Oryzias latipes: one gene and its partners. The main gene of each other region encodes a partner of the protein of the gene in region 2 in a complex. Links are inferred from orthologs where the notes say so. Each region holds a gene or a part of one and is shown on either strand. Other genes may lie near its edges. The genes, in order: rictor, mapkap1 and mlst8.

Region 1 (4,118 bases), on a different chromosome or scaffold from region 2:
ATATATTATTTTAGTTTTATAGCCAGCAGGTTATTCTAGTTGAATAGAAGCTTATGATGCATTTCTATCCCCAGAGCTTTTTTTTTTTTTTAATCTAAACTGTGGTATAAACCTCAGCAGGTCAGCAGCTACATTTCAGAGGAAGAGTAGTTGATCAGTCATTCAATATATCTACAGTCATCTTCCTTAAAAAGCTGCATGTGGAGCAAAAAAATGCTGCAGCATTCTTACCTTTATGAAGTTGTTCAGGTGGCCCAGTTTTCGCATGTTGCTAACTCCGTGTGGTTTAGCCACATTTTGAAGAATTTCCCGGAAGTTTTCTGATGGTTCTAGAGGGAAACAAAAAGACCATTTCAGTGGACAAAATAGCTCTGTGGTTACAGGAGAAAAGGAAAGGGCTATCAATTAGTTTACTAGTTTTACGTTTATGCAGTCAAAACTAGACCTTTATAGCAAAAAGCAAAGTCGAGCAAGTTAGACTTTGCTTTCCAACAATTCATCTAATGTTAATTATTTGATAAAATATTAAAACACTTGCGAGGTTATTTCATATGTAGACATCTAATATCTGTAGAAACTAATGTCAGATATACCAATCAATGAAGAAATCCATTTCACAAACACGTAAATAGACCATCCTAATCCCAGATTATGTTTTAAATTGTCTTATATTATCTCTCCATAAAAAAAACTGATATTTTAACAAGATTTAGAACTTCAAATACAAAGGGGGAAAAATCCGTACAGCTACAAAACAAAACAATAGAATACCACGAAAATGGTTTAACTGAGGTTGACATTTAAGAAGATTTCCTATATGATGCTAAGATAAAAGTATCAAAAGCAAAAAGGCAAACAAGCACTGGTGTATAAATATACCTTAAACTTTAGCTTCTTATCCGTGAAGCAAAAATCGATCAATCGTTTAAGAAACAGTGGTGTTATTGCATTATAAACGTTCCTGGGGGGTAATCCAGGAAGCATGTTTAAACTACCCTGACTTTAACCCTGAACTCTGGCTGAAATCTCAAATTTACATATTTTTCTAACTAAATGTCATATTACTCCAATTCAATTAAATGTCTTTCCATCTTAATTTATTGTATTTCTTGAACTCTCATATGTCTACATTTGAGCCTGTAGATATTCTCATTTTTATAACATTAAAATGAATGAAACAATATAGATTCACAACACAAAACTTAAAGTCATTTATCCTTTCTCTGACTTTGACATTACAACACTGAGCAGTAGGGGTGCTAAATAACCTCATCATTCTCTCCCTCCCTCTCACTCATGGTGCAGAAAGAATTAAACACAACAGGACAAATAACTCGGAAATACACAGTAAAACAGATAAACAACTAAACACATTTGGTCAAAAACCCACACTTAAACCCAAATCCGTCCAGACAGGCAAAGGGAATGGTATCCCACAATTCCTTGCAGCGCCGATCTAACAGCAGCACCAAAGTTACACCTACTTAATTGAATTAATTTGAATTAAAGTAAAATAACTGTCTGATAACTTAGTGTTCTTTTTAAGCTCATGTAACAAAAAGAATGTATCTTAACTGAAGCAAATAATTAAGTTAGATTAATGTAAAAAAGTTCATCTTTCCAACATCCATACGTGGTCTTATCACCCTCTCATGGTGGAAAAAGTATTATCTGAGCTTCTTCATCCACTAAATCATCTTCAAATGGACACTGCATGCTCCTTCACCTCTCTGAAACCAACTAACCTTCAACTAAACCTGCTCCAGACCAGGTTATGTTCAGAGCATGAGTTGCTATAGCAACTTCACATACCCTGAAACATACCACTGTTTTTGGAACCAAAAGCTGAGGCTATCCGCTTCCTTAGCCTCAAACTTATCGTGGTAAATAGCATAACCTACTTTCTGGAATACCCCCCATCAATGGTTGAGTTTGTTCCAGTAAGATACGTTTTATATAAAAACCTAAGCTGACAAAAAACACAAACTATGTTCGTAATCGTTTTCCTAATTTAGGACCGAAATGTTTCCATCAGAACTCGTTGATCGTGCTTTTATCGTGAGTCAAGTGTGCCTAGCAGCCGCAAAAGGTTCCAAACAAAGAAAACAGCCGCTGGTTGGTGTAAACAAACAAGCAGACAGTGCTGTTGCTAGATGAGCAAATTTAACTCGGCTGAGCTGTGAATAAAAAAAAAAAAGCCCGTATGTGCATTGCTCAGCAAACCGGCTTAAGCTCAGGGTTTCTGACAGCCAGCGGAGCCTCGTGTATTAATGCAACTCTAATGGCTGTCTCGCTAAATAGCAGGCTCTGCAGCCCACTCACGCCTACCAAAACAACAGCGCATCGTCATGACTGGTTAGCTGTGGCAGCCAGCTAACGCTAAATCAGCTAGCTAGTTAGCTCCCTCTCGCCTGTTTATAGCCACAAAGGAAGATTTTTGAACAAAACAACAACAAATAAAACGTTTAATTAAAAATGCATCCACGTGGCAATCTCGTGGTTCATTTAGAGGTTCGTATATTTTGTGCATAAAGTCAACCATAATCCATTTTGAGCAATAATAGCTTTTAGAATGATGAGCCTCTGCTTACCTCTACTCAGATCCAGCGGTACGTTCTCCTCCCCGCTGTCATTCCGCCCTGACAAAAACAAACGCAACGGAAACGCTGAAGGACAAATTCAATGCTATGTTTTGTGGGAGACGTGCTCTTATTGCAATACGCTGCCATTCCAACAAATTATGAGCTGAGTTTTTCACGCTTACCTCGCATCCGAAGACTCCGGATAGGACGGCCGCGGAAGCTGGCCGCCATGTTTCCAGGAACATACACAACACCGGAAACTTCGCGGAATGTCGCGAGAACACGGACATCAAACGCAAATCGCTGCGGTGCAAATCACAGATCTGGGATCAGGCGAATCCCAGTTAATCCCTTAACCTCCAACGGCAATGAAAAAATAATCTGACCTGGCGACTGAACGACAGAAATAAACAGTTTAGTTAGCAGCAGTATTCGAGTTTTAATTGCAAATGTAATATTTATTTATTAATATTTTTCAGCATGACCAATTTGCTAAATTTGTTTTTATAAAAACAAATCTTAGTTTTTTTGTTTGAGTTTGTGTCATGGTTCATGTTTTCATGTATGATTGGGATTTAGTGACAGGAATAATTTGTGCAAAATGTTTTGTAATATGGTTTAAACGTATGTTTTTATCCTAACTTTAGGGAAATATTTAAGTTGAAAACAAAAAATAATATGTTCTAACTTGATTTAAGGCAAGTTGTGTTATGTTAAAGTTATTGTTACAAATAGGAAATATTCAAAGAATAAATAACAATAATAAGTACAACACAAGTAGTGCACATAATGGACCTGCTTAGAGGATTTGGACATCACTGCAGCTCCTTTTTCTGCACACATATCAGCAAAAACATAATTCTTTCATCTTCTCAGAGACTATTTTTGTTCAAACCCAAAGGGATTTTTGTTGCATTAGCCTGCTTAAATGATTTTGCAATTACAGAAAGACCTTGACCTACTTTTTCATTCCAACCTCATGAGTCTTGATCATGAGTCTTGATGTCTGTCGCTGTATAGTTTATGACAGCTGGTCCCACAGAGCTTGTTACTTGAGTTCATAGAAGTGTACTCTAAACGATGAACAATACATGAATTATTTTTAGCTTCTCTCTTGAGTAAAAAACGTGTTTGTTTTTACTAACGTTGTGATACCAAAGACTTCTTTCATGCAAAAAATTCAAGACGTGTAAATTACAGAATAACTGGTTCATTAAAAAACAGAGGTACCAAAAGTAAAAGACGAATGTTTCAACATTTTCAGTTGTTATATTATCATTTTTTTTTAAAAGCTGCAAGAAAACTCAGGTTGCTATGACCACATTAACCACTAGATGGCGCTAATGCTTTACGAACACAAACCAAGACAGAAAAAAGATGGCCACTTAACCGGATAATGATAAATCATGTTATAAAATGGTTACGGTAGAACAGGGGTGGGTTTATATAAGTTCGCTTCCTTCCACTCCCTTTCAAGCAATATTTATTTATATGATTAATTATCCAAAGTTTGATTAGTTGTGGTACGAATCTATA
Region 2 (4,331 bases):
TTTTTGTTTAGAACTATGAAATGCGTGGGTCAATCCAACTCATTGACTGAATATGAGAACTGGACAGAGTAAGTGTGACGTCACTCACAGAAAATTGGCTTACTTCTGGTTCCAACCAATTGAAGTAACTTCAGTCACCATTTTTTGCAATGTGGACGTCGCCAGGTTGGGAGTCAGACAATGTTAGCAAGGAGTGATTGGTCTAAGACAATCAGAGTCAACATTGTTATGGCAACCACTCTCACAAATCCAGAGAGAGCTTGTTGAAAGGCCACACCCCTACCACTTAAAGCGGACTGCACAAAATCTGTTAATCAATCTTTGAACATGAGGCCACACGCTTTTATTGAGACCCATGATTGGTCAGTTTATAACATGATTAGCTTGTACTAAAGAAAAAATATTATTAGAAAAAATAGGATTATCAAGAACATGTTCAAAAAAGGTATCGGAGCAAGAATGGTTATTCTGACCAACAGAATGACTGATTAACAGCTGTTTATTTCTATATAGAAGTCTATAGGATTTTGGCTTCTTGGGGCCAGCGCGTACTTCCTGTTAGGAACACCAGGGGGAGGGGTCGGCAAGTCCAGTTCTCTTATACAGTCAATTGCCAAAATGTATTTGAACCATGTTTTTTTGGTTATTTTCAATATTGATGTTGAAGTCCCGCTCCTATCATCTTTTGATCTATTGCAAAAAGCATTCTCAGAAGTCTTTCTTTATGTTTATGCTGTTTTATGTGTAGTTTTCTATGGCATGGTTTCTGCAGAGCAGCAGGAGTTCATTAGAGATTCTCTGAGTTGACCAGTGGCACATAGCTAGCCCACCACCACTTCCCGTCACCAATCTGTTTACAGTCTCTCCAACTAGCTTAGAGCCTCTAACAACGCCAACCTAAAGGCCCGTTCACACCGGGACGAATTTCGCTGGCGATTTTCGCCGACGTTTAACGCCTCGTGACTAAACAAAGGGCACCAATGGGAGTGTGCACACCGACGCGAAAAAACGCCAGGCGTCAAAGCGTCAAAAAAAAAAACGCCTCGGGTTCGTTTTTTTTTTTTCGACGCGTCGCGTCGAAATCTATTCGACCAATGAGAATGGCGCTTTTGCACACATGTCTGGAGCTTCTGAAGTTACAGTAAAACACAACTTGGGGGCGCTCAAACACAAAACTGCCTTGCTGAGCACACATACCAGCGAAGAAGATAGACGCCAAGTAGCGTCTACACTGCTGCGAAGAAATAATGACGGACATTCTAAAATATCCCCGAACCAAGCACCAGTTGGAGCAACTGGTGCTTGAAATATTCATGTTTTCTTTGTTTGATTCTGACAAGCGCGTAAATACTTGCTCTCTTCTTCTGAGTGAAAAGCGACTTTAATAAGCGTAAAGTTGCGCAGCGCCACCTTGTGTACAGGAGTATTTCTGTTTACATTAAGCGCCATCTAATGTCAGGGAAGGAAATTGCATGTTCGCTCGGCTCATCGTCAGTGGAAATCGCCTGGGTGTGAACACAAAAAACGTGGCGAAAAACGCTGGCGAATAACGCCTGGCGAATATTCGTCCCGGTGTGTACGGGCCTTAACATGAGCACTGCGATAAAAATGGTGAGCAATATTGGCGCTGTCCAGCCATACAGTTTTGATCCAGATTCCAGCTCAGACAGGGAAAACAAAGATGTACATGGAACAAGTTGTCCATGAGTGGATGCATTAGAATGAGGAGGGGCAGGAAGCTTGTGGCTTTCTGCAGTAGCTTCAGTTACAACAAGCTTTTTCTAACAGCATTTCTTTGTCTGCTCCTGATTCACAACTACGTGAACACAGAAATACTCAGAAATACAGTTTTGAGCCTAATTTTCTTTATATATGTCCTCTATCATCAGACAAATGCCAGTGTTTTTTAGTGTTTGGGCACAACGCTAACTTTTTTTTTTTTGAAGAATCAGAAGTCGTGTCACATCTGAAAACACGAAGTTTGTTCACAGTGTTTAGTCTAAACACGGATGTTGACAGCTACAACAGGCAGATGACGGCGCTGAGCGCATGGGCAGCTGAGAAGAACACTTCACCATCAAGAAAACGGATTATGAGCACAGAAATCACTGTGATGACGTAACAGTTCCCACTGTAACAGCTGTAAATGATGTCTGACGGTCATTTCAGCTGAGGACACAGTCTTATCTGGGGAAAGTTCTCACAGGAAAAACACGCTCGTGTAAAACACACGACACAACTGAAACAAACACCACATGTCAGTAAATACAAATTTGTGTCGGAGTTTATCATTTTAAGAAGGTAGAAGTTAAACAATCGGATTAAAAAGTTCTGTGTACATTTATCAGATCATCATCATGTTTTGCGTTAGCAGCACCTTGTTTTCCTAACCAAAATGGCTCACTTAAACCAGCTGAATTACAACAAAATCCATTTCAGCTGCTCCAAAAAGTAGCAGGAGGATCTACAGACTGAAGTGATTCATACTTTATAAGCGTGTAACATGACAGGAACAGCTTACAGATCGCATTACAGTCGGTTAGCGGTGACTAAACTCAAGCTAACGATTATCTCTCCCGAGTCAGTTAGCAATAGCAGTGGTATGAACAGAAAGAAGATCCCACCTCTACGTTTTTCTGACGAGACACAGCAGAGTCCACGTCCCTCCATCTCATCCAGTCTACTTATTTGGCCGACGAGTCGTTACATCCGTGAAAAACAATTCAATGCATTAAAGTCTCAAAACAACCGAAAGCCAATGCAATCTGCTGCGCTCGTGCAACCAGGAAGACATCCTTTTGACTTCCGGTGTAATCTCTTCACAATAAAAGAGCCACCAAACGAAAAACACGCACAAGAGCAGTTCACTGACCGAGGCAGTGAAAGTAAAGGAACACTGAATTATATGCACCTTTATTCCTTACTAGTATTTCAGCGTTTACAAAATGTTGTGCACACATCCAAATGCACTTCACACTAGAAAGTGAAAAAATAAAGAAAAGTTAAAAAAGAGAGAGAGATGCCAGAGCAAGATAAAATTATGCTTTTGCAAGTTCAAAGTATCATCACATGAAATAGAAATGTGGCTGCAAAATCGTGCGATCATGAGTAAAAAGAATTATCGCAGCAAAAATTTGCAAGAACCTTTTCTATTTACATGGATATTTTTGAGATCTTCAAAGTTCTTCCATCTTTCCATTACACTTGTGGAACCTGTCAACAGATTTCCATCTCTCTCTTTAAAGACCCACTCTGGTGAAATTCTTATTTTTTGCCACAAGAACATGTTTTTGACATGTTCATGTTCTCATTTTTCTGATGATAGAGGACATCCATAATGAAAATTCAGCTTAAAATGGCATTTCTGAGTGTTTATTTATTCAAATTGTTTGGAATCAGGAGCAGTTTGAAGAAGACCACCCTCTACCACTACCCTTTTTCTTTTTATGTATCTTTGCCTGTGTGTCCTTCCATATACATAAATACTTACATTTTTTTGACTTGTAGTTGTTTTATTTTTTTATTCCTGTAGTTATTTGTGGATTTTTGTGGCCCATCACATTTAGGGGGCAGTCACTGTATTTAGGGGGGCATTGCCCCCCACTGCCTGTGCCTTTATCCAATCTTACAGTAAAAAAATTGGATCTACTGGTATTTGTCTGGATATATATATACACAAACATAAAAGTATATTTATGTAACCACATTGCAAACATTACCTAACAGAACTTTTTCGTCTGCTCCTGATTCACAACAATTTGAATAAAGAAATACAAAAAAATGCAGTTTTGAGCTAAATGTTCTCTATACATTTCCTCAATCATCAGAGAAATGTTAAAAGAACACGTTAAAACCAAACACAATTATCATTGGCTTGAACCTTTTCAGCCCCACAGTATGGTTTGCTTTGAGGATGCAAAAATGCTTTCTCCACAATCCGCTTTAATGATGAAACCACGTGGTAAAATGAGTTTTAAAGCATCCCTATTCTGCGCTGTGTTTTGTTCCTGAATTTCTTTTTCCTCATTTGTCTGCGTCCCCCTTATAAACCATAGAACAAATGAATCGGAGCCTGTAAAGTGGAAGGTTTTCTGCGAGGCGTCCACTGAAGAGCATCGTAGCAGTCGGTGGGAGGGGGCGGAGCTATCTGCGGTCAGCAGCGGATCTCGCTGTGGGCCCTCGCTCTGGGTTTAGCTACACGAAACCGGAAACACACCATGTAAATATTAACACTTCAGCTAAAGTTCAGGATCACTCTGTTGGTTTCAGGGCGGCAACATGTTTTGAAAACCAGCCAAAGCACGCGGGGAAACTCGAGGTGAGCGGTCCGT
Region 3 (4,176 bases), on a different chromosome or scaffold from region 2:
CTTTCTTCGGCCTGACTTACAGCTTCATCTCCAAGCTGGACCTGGACTCCTCTGCCTCTAAAGTCATCAAGACCCGCTGGTACGATCGCACCAAAGTCACGGCCTCCTTCTTTCCTTCCATCTGTCCGTGCTTCGATTTGGGCTTTTTTCAGCTCTAAATGTAGGTTCCTGCTGACGGCGGACATGCAGAGCTGCGGTAACCAGCTGTGTCCGGGCGGGGAGCAGCCGTTCTCAGGCACCACAGGCTTCGACCTGCTGGTGGACCTGACCGACCACACCGGCACGCTGCAGGCCTGCAGCCTCCGGGGCGCCACGGCGGAGCAGACGCTCGGCTGCTCGGTCGGTAACTCCTCAGAGGCTGAGGGGGGGGGTCAGCTCCAAACTGCTGAGATCCACAGACTTCTCTTAAATATGCTGCTGCCTGCTTCCAGACGGACGAGTTCATCCGTCTGACCGATGATCAGCGCACCGCTCTCAAGTGGAAGTTTCTTCTGGAAAGATGCAAAATATACCTGAAGGTATTCCAGCCTTCAAAAGGCATGTTTTTTTTTTTTTTGTCTTTGTGATGTGTTTTTATTGTTCATGAGATCGTCTGCCGCAGATCCTTCCCTCTGCGAGAACGAAAAGCGGCATCAGGGGGGTGATCCTGGCCTGCTCTCCGGCCGACCCAGGAGAGGTGAAGCAGCATATGTCGGCTGTTCTGCAGCAGCTTTGAACCAGCAATGCGAAGTCTGTTCTATTTACATTTGTTCTGCGCTAATTACAATGTAAACAGATGCTTCAACTGTTATTTATTTATTTATTCTTATTTATTTAACTTATTGATATAAATTGATTTATTTAAAAAAAGGCGTTAAATTGTTCCTGTTTAATAAAGTTGTGTTTTGAAAAAAAATTCTGATTTATTATCACAAAATACAATTAAAAAAGAAAAAAAAAACAAAAGCAACTGTTATAAAAAAAAGTATATTTAAAATAAAAAGAATGATGTAGATTTTATGTAGCGACAATAAATGCTTTATTTAAAGCAATTTTAACCATAAAAAAAGAAAAATATGTATTAAAATTTTGAATTCATAAAAATGATTAAAAAGAAATAAAACAATATGTTTAAATATTTTTTGACATATTACTCTGAATCATAAGGAGACATATTTGCACATTTATTGTAATGATTGCCAAATAAAAGTTGATTAATTACCTGAAAGAGTGTGGGAAAAGGCGATTTTATGATTCTACCTCTATTATGATTTATTTTTTATTATTATTATTTTACATCGTTGCATTCCTGCATTTAAACAATTTTTTTTTCAAAGCGGAACGTTTGACACACTTCTGTGTTTATCGGGGACGCGTTAGTCAGACGTACCGCAGTCGCGAATGATGGCTTCAGGAAATCTGTAAAGCGAATTCTTATCAGATTTTTAGATGTTTTCTCACATTCAGATATTTTTAAAACGGCTTTTCTTTAAAAGAGTTAACTTCAAAAAGCTTGAGCTGACGTCGTTGGCCGATCGTTTGGACCGAGTTCGTCAGATGTAACTAAGTGGACTGACGGGTTCTGGTGTTGTTTGTAACCGTGACACACTAGCGGAGAAGCATGAATGTCAACCAGGGCACGGTGGGCAGCGACCCGGTTATCCTGGCCACGGCTGGATACGATCACACAGTCCGGTTCTGGCAGGCCCACAGCGGGATCTGTACCCGGACGGTGCAGCATCAGGACTCGGTATCCTTTCCCTGGTTAGAACGGTTCGGTGAGAGCTCTCTGTTTACATGCGCTACCGCTGGCTTACAGCCGCTCACACCCCAACCTGACGAAATGGCCCCCAATTTCGGAGCTTTACTGAATTGAAAAACAAAATTATGACTTTAGTCTCGTAAAATTTTACATTTTTATTGTTGTTTATACTTTTACAAATTTATTAGTGTAATTTTTTTTTACTTTTTAATAATAATTTTACTACGGAACGGTATTATGTTAAATAAAAATAAAATACAGGTGACCTTTGCTCTAACTTGTTTGACATAATCCGTTTTTGTTTTGTTTTTGTTTGATTCACCACACACACTAAAAATAAAACCATCAACTGTTAATTAAATGCAATAGGCTTAATATTTTACAGCATTATTCTCATACATAATATGTATTTTGTTGTAGAAAAATGCTATAAAAGGCATATATATGCTAAATACCTCAAAAACGCGACTTTCGGAGTGGGCCTTTAACTCGTCATTTCAGCAAGTGAATTCCCTTGAAGTGACCCCGGACAGAAGCATGATCGCCGCCGCAGGTCAGTCCAAACTCTCCCATTTGAAGGCTGCGCGGCGTTTCACTGCGCGTTCCTCCTCTTCCTCCTGCAGGGTATCAGCACATCCGCATGTACGACCTGAACTCCAACAACCCAAACCCCGTCATCAACTACGACGGAGTCAGCAAGAACATCACCTCCGTGGGCTTCCATGAGGACGGACGCTGGATGTACACCGGAGGAGAGGACTGCATGGCTCGCATATGGGACCTAAGGTACGGCGGTTCACCTCCACCGCACACCCCGGCAGAAATCCACTCTGCTGTTATCAACCCTCCTCCTTTCAGGTCAAGAAACCTGCAGTGTCAGAGGATCTTCCAAGTAAACGCTCCCATCAACTGTGTGTGTCTTCATCCCAATCAGGTATCCTCAAAGCTGCACAGGTGTTTGATGTGGATTTATCTGTAGATTTGTCAGCGTTTTGTGATTTTTCTTTTAGGCGGAGCTGATTGTTGGGGATCAGAGTGGCGTGATTCACATCTGGGACCTGAAAACGGACCACAACGAACAGCTGATTCCAGAGCCAGAAGTCTCGGTGAACTCTGTCCACATCGACCCCGATGCCAGCTACATGGCAGCCGTCAACAGCTCGGTGCGTCCCCAAACTGAACATGGGACGCAAAAACTGGGGTTGGAGAGAAACTAGAGTGAGGTTCCTGTTCCCCCCCCCAACAGGGAAACTGTTACGTGTGGAACCTGGCTGGAGGGATGGGAGACGAAGTGACGCAGCTCATTCCAAAGACGAAGATCCCGGCGCACAAACGATACTCGCTGCGCTGCAAGTTCAGCCCCGACTCCACGTGAGGCTTTTTGTTGTTTCTGCCTGACGTGAGGCCAAACAGAAAAAAAACCTCATTGATGTTTCTCCTTGAATGTCTCCAGACTACTGGCCACCTGCTCAGCGGATCAGACCTGCAAGATCTGGAGGACGTCCAACTTCTCCCTGATGACGGAGCTGAGCATCAAAAGCAACAACCCCGGGGAGACGTCCCGAGGCTGGATGTGGGACTGCGCCTTCTCCGGAGACTCGCAGTACATCGTTACAGGTGCGTACCTTCACCTTTGGGTCTGTCCCCTTGTCCCGCTGAGTTTTTAAAGTTAAAAATGGCATGTTTTAGCAAACTTTAATATAAAATTAAAGCCGTAAACGGCGTTGCATGACCTGCAGAGGACACTGCCCCCTTTTGAACCGCCTTCACCCTCCCCTTCTGCCAGTCTGGTCACAAATTCATGAAAGAGAACACTTTTATTCAAAAGTGCGGCTTTTCTGATGGTTTTATCTCCATGGCAACCATTTCAGTTTTTGGTCACCGCGGGGTGACGAACAGGTTTCGGTCATTTTTAGAAGAATCTGCAAAAGTAGATTTTTGGATTTCCTTAGCAACGTAGGATTTTTGTTAACCACACCCACATTTCTTATATGTTCATATTGTTTGTCATATCGTTTGGTTCAGCTTGAGCAGAGGTGCGCTCCATTTTCTCAATATTCCGGTAAAAAATGCGCCCACAACAGGAAATCGCCACTTTTGTGAACTCGCCGTTCAAAATCCACAAACTTTATTTCCAAAATTCCAATTAGTTTCCCAAGGACACCGCTCCAGGAGTCAGGAGGCGATTCTTAGGAGGAGTTTAAATTTGTAGCTGGGACTAAACGGGATAAATATGTATTTTTTTACAAAATTCAAGATGGCAGCTTCTTCCCGAGGTCAAAGGTCAATGAAACTTCAGCTCTTGTTGAAGACTTTTGAATTGTAAATTGTAGAATAAATTGTAGACGAATGTGAAAATCACCAAACGTCACTCTCTGCCACACAGTGACCACCAAGCCGTGGCACCTGTGGCCATCCCATAATAATTAAAAAAA

Evidence for each region.
Region 1: the proteins of mapkap1 (region 2) and rictor are in contact, whole or in part, in a cryo-EM structure (PDB 7PE7), measured with the Homo sapiens proteins. The link is inferred for Oryzias latipes from reciprocal best matches to the Homo sapiens genes MAPKAP1 and RICTOR. Residues at the interface, in NP_001006618.1 of Homo sapiens: Ala2, Phe3, Leu4, Asp5, Asn6, Pro7, Ile9, Ile10, Leu11, Ala12, His13, Ile14, Arg15, Gln16, Ser17, His18, Thr20, Ser21, Asp22, Asp23, Thr24, Met26, Cys27, Met29, Val30, Leu31, Ile32, Asp35, Val36, Ser84; in NP_689969.2 of Homo sapiens: Arg108, Gln137, Glu140, Thr144, Leu147, Arg148, Arg151, Lys152, Thr155, Arg182, Met183, Arg185, Ala186, Ala189, Cys192, Glu193, Leu196, Leu220, Arg222, Ile223, Glu225, Ala226, Leu227, Thr229, Thr230, His233, Asn236, Arg293, Trp295, Glu844.
Region 3: the proteins of mapkap1 (region 2) and mlst8 are in contact, whole or in part, in a cryo-EM structure (PDB 7PE8), measured with the Homo sapiens proteins. The link is inferred for Oryzias latipes from reciprocal best matches to the Homo sapiens genes MAPKAP1 and MLST8. Residues at the interface, in NP_001006618.1 of Homo sapiens: Lys102, Cys103, Lys104, Asn105, Ile106, Gln107, Trp108, Lys109, Arg111, Asn112, Ser113, Lys121, Leu123, Phe124, Glu125, Lys126, Lys127, Ser128, Leu129, Gly137, Lys138, Gln139, Ser140, Ile141, Leu142, Val144, Arg145, Leu146; in NP_001186102.1 of Homo sapiens: Ala29, His30, Pro77, Ile78, Ile79, Ser80, Tyr81, Asp82, Gly83, Arg98, Arg110, Ile111, Trp112, Gln120, Cys121, Gln122, Arg123, Ile124, Asn139, Gln140, Ala141, Leu157, Lys158, Ile203, Glu206, Ser279, Gly280, Asp281, Gln283, Asp322.

Annotation. Positions count from the first base shown.
Region 1 is NC_019867.2:18,765,670-18,769,787, forward strand, and holds the start of rictor (rapamycin-insensitive companion of mTOR), read right to left. Parts: upstream 2,832-4,118; 5' UTR 2,814-2,831; coding exon 2,765-2,813; intron 2,640-2,764; coding exon 2,592-2,639; intron 330-2,591; coding exon 232-329; intron 1-231. UniProt on the Homo sapiens protein: Component of the mechanistic target of rapamycin complex 2 (mTORC2), which transduces signals from growth factors to pathways involved in proliferation, cytoskeletal organization, lipogenesis and anabolic output.
Region 2 is NC_019870.2:25,040,356-25,044,686, reverse strand, and holds the start of mapkap1 (target of rapamycin complex 2 subunit MAPKAP1), read right to left. Parts: upstream 2,811-4,331; 5' UTR 2,625-2,810; intron 1-2,624. UniProt on the Homo sapiens protein: Component of the mechanistic target of rapamycin complex 2 (mTORC2), which transduces signals from growth factors to pathways involved in proliferation, cytoskeletal organization, lipogenesis and anabolic output.
Region 3 is NC_019877.2:3,131,047-3,135,222, reverse strand, and holds the start of mlst8 (target of rapamycin complex subunit LST8), read left to right. Parts: upstream 1-1,351; 5' UTR 1,352-1,600; coding exon 1,601-1,729; intron 1,730-2,242; coding exon 2,243-2,294; intron 2,295-2,364; coding exon 2,365-2,527; intron 2,528-2,599; coding exon 2,600-2,675; intron 2,676-2,751; coding exon 2,752-2,904; intron 2,905-2,987; coding exon 2,988-3,112; intron 3,113-3,194; coding exon 3,195-3,358; intron 3,359-4,176. Other genes in the region: meiob (meiosis-specific with OB domain-containing protein), read left to right, coding at 1-79, 153-339, 432-518, 602-715.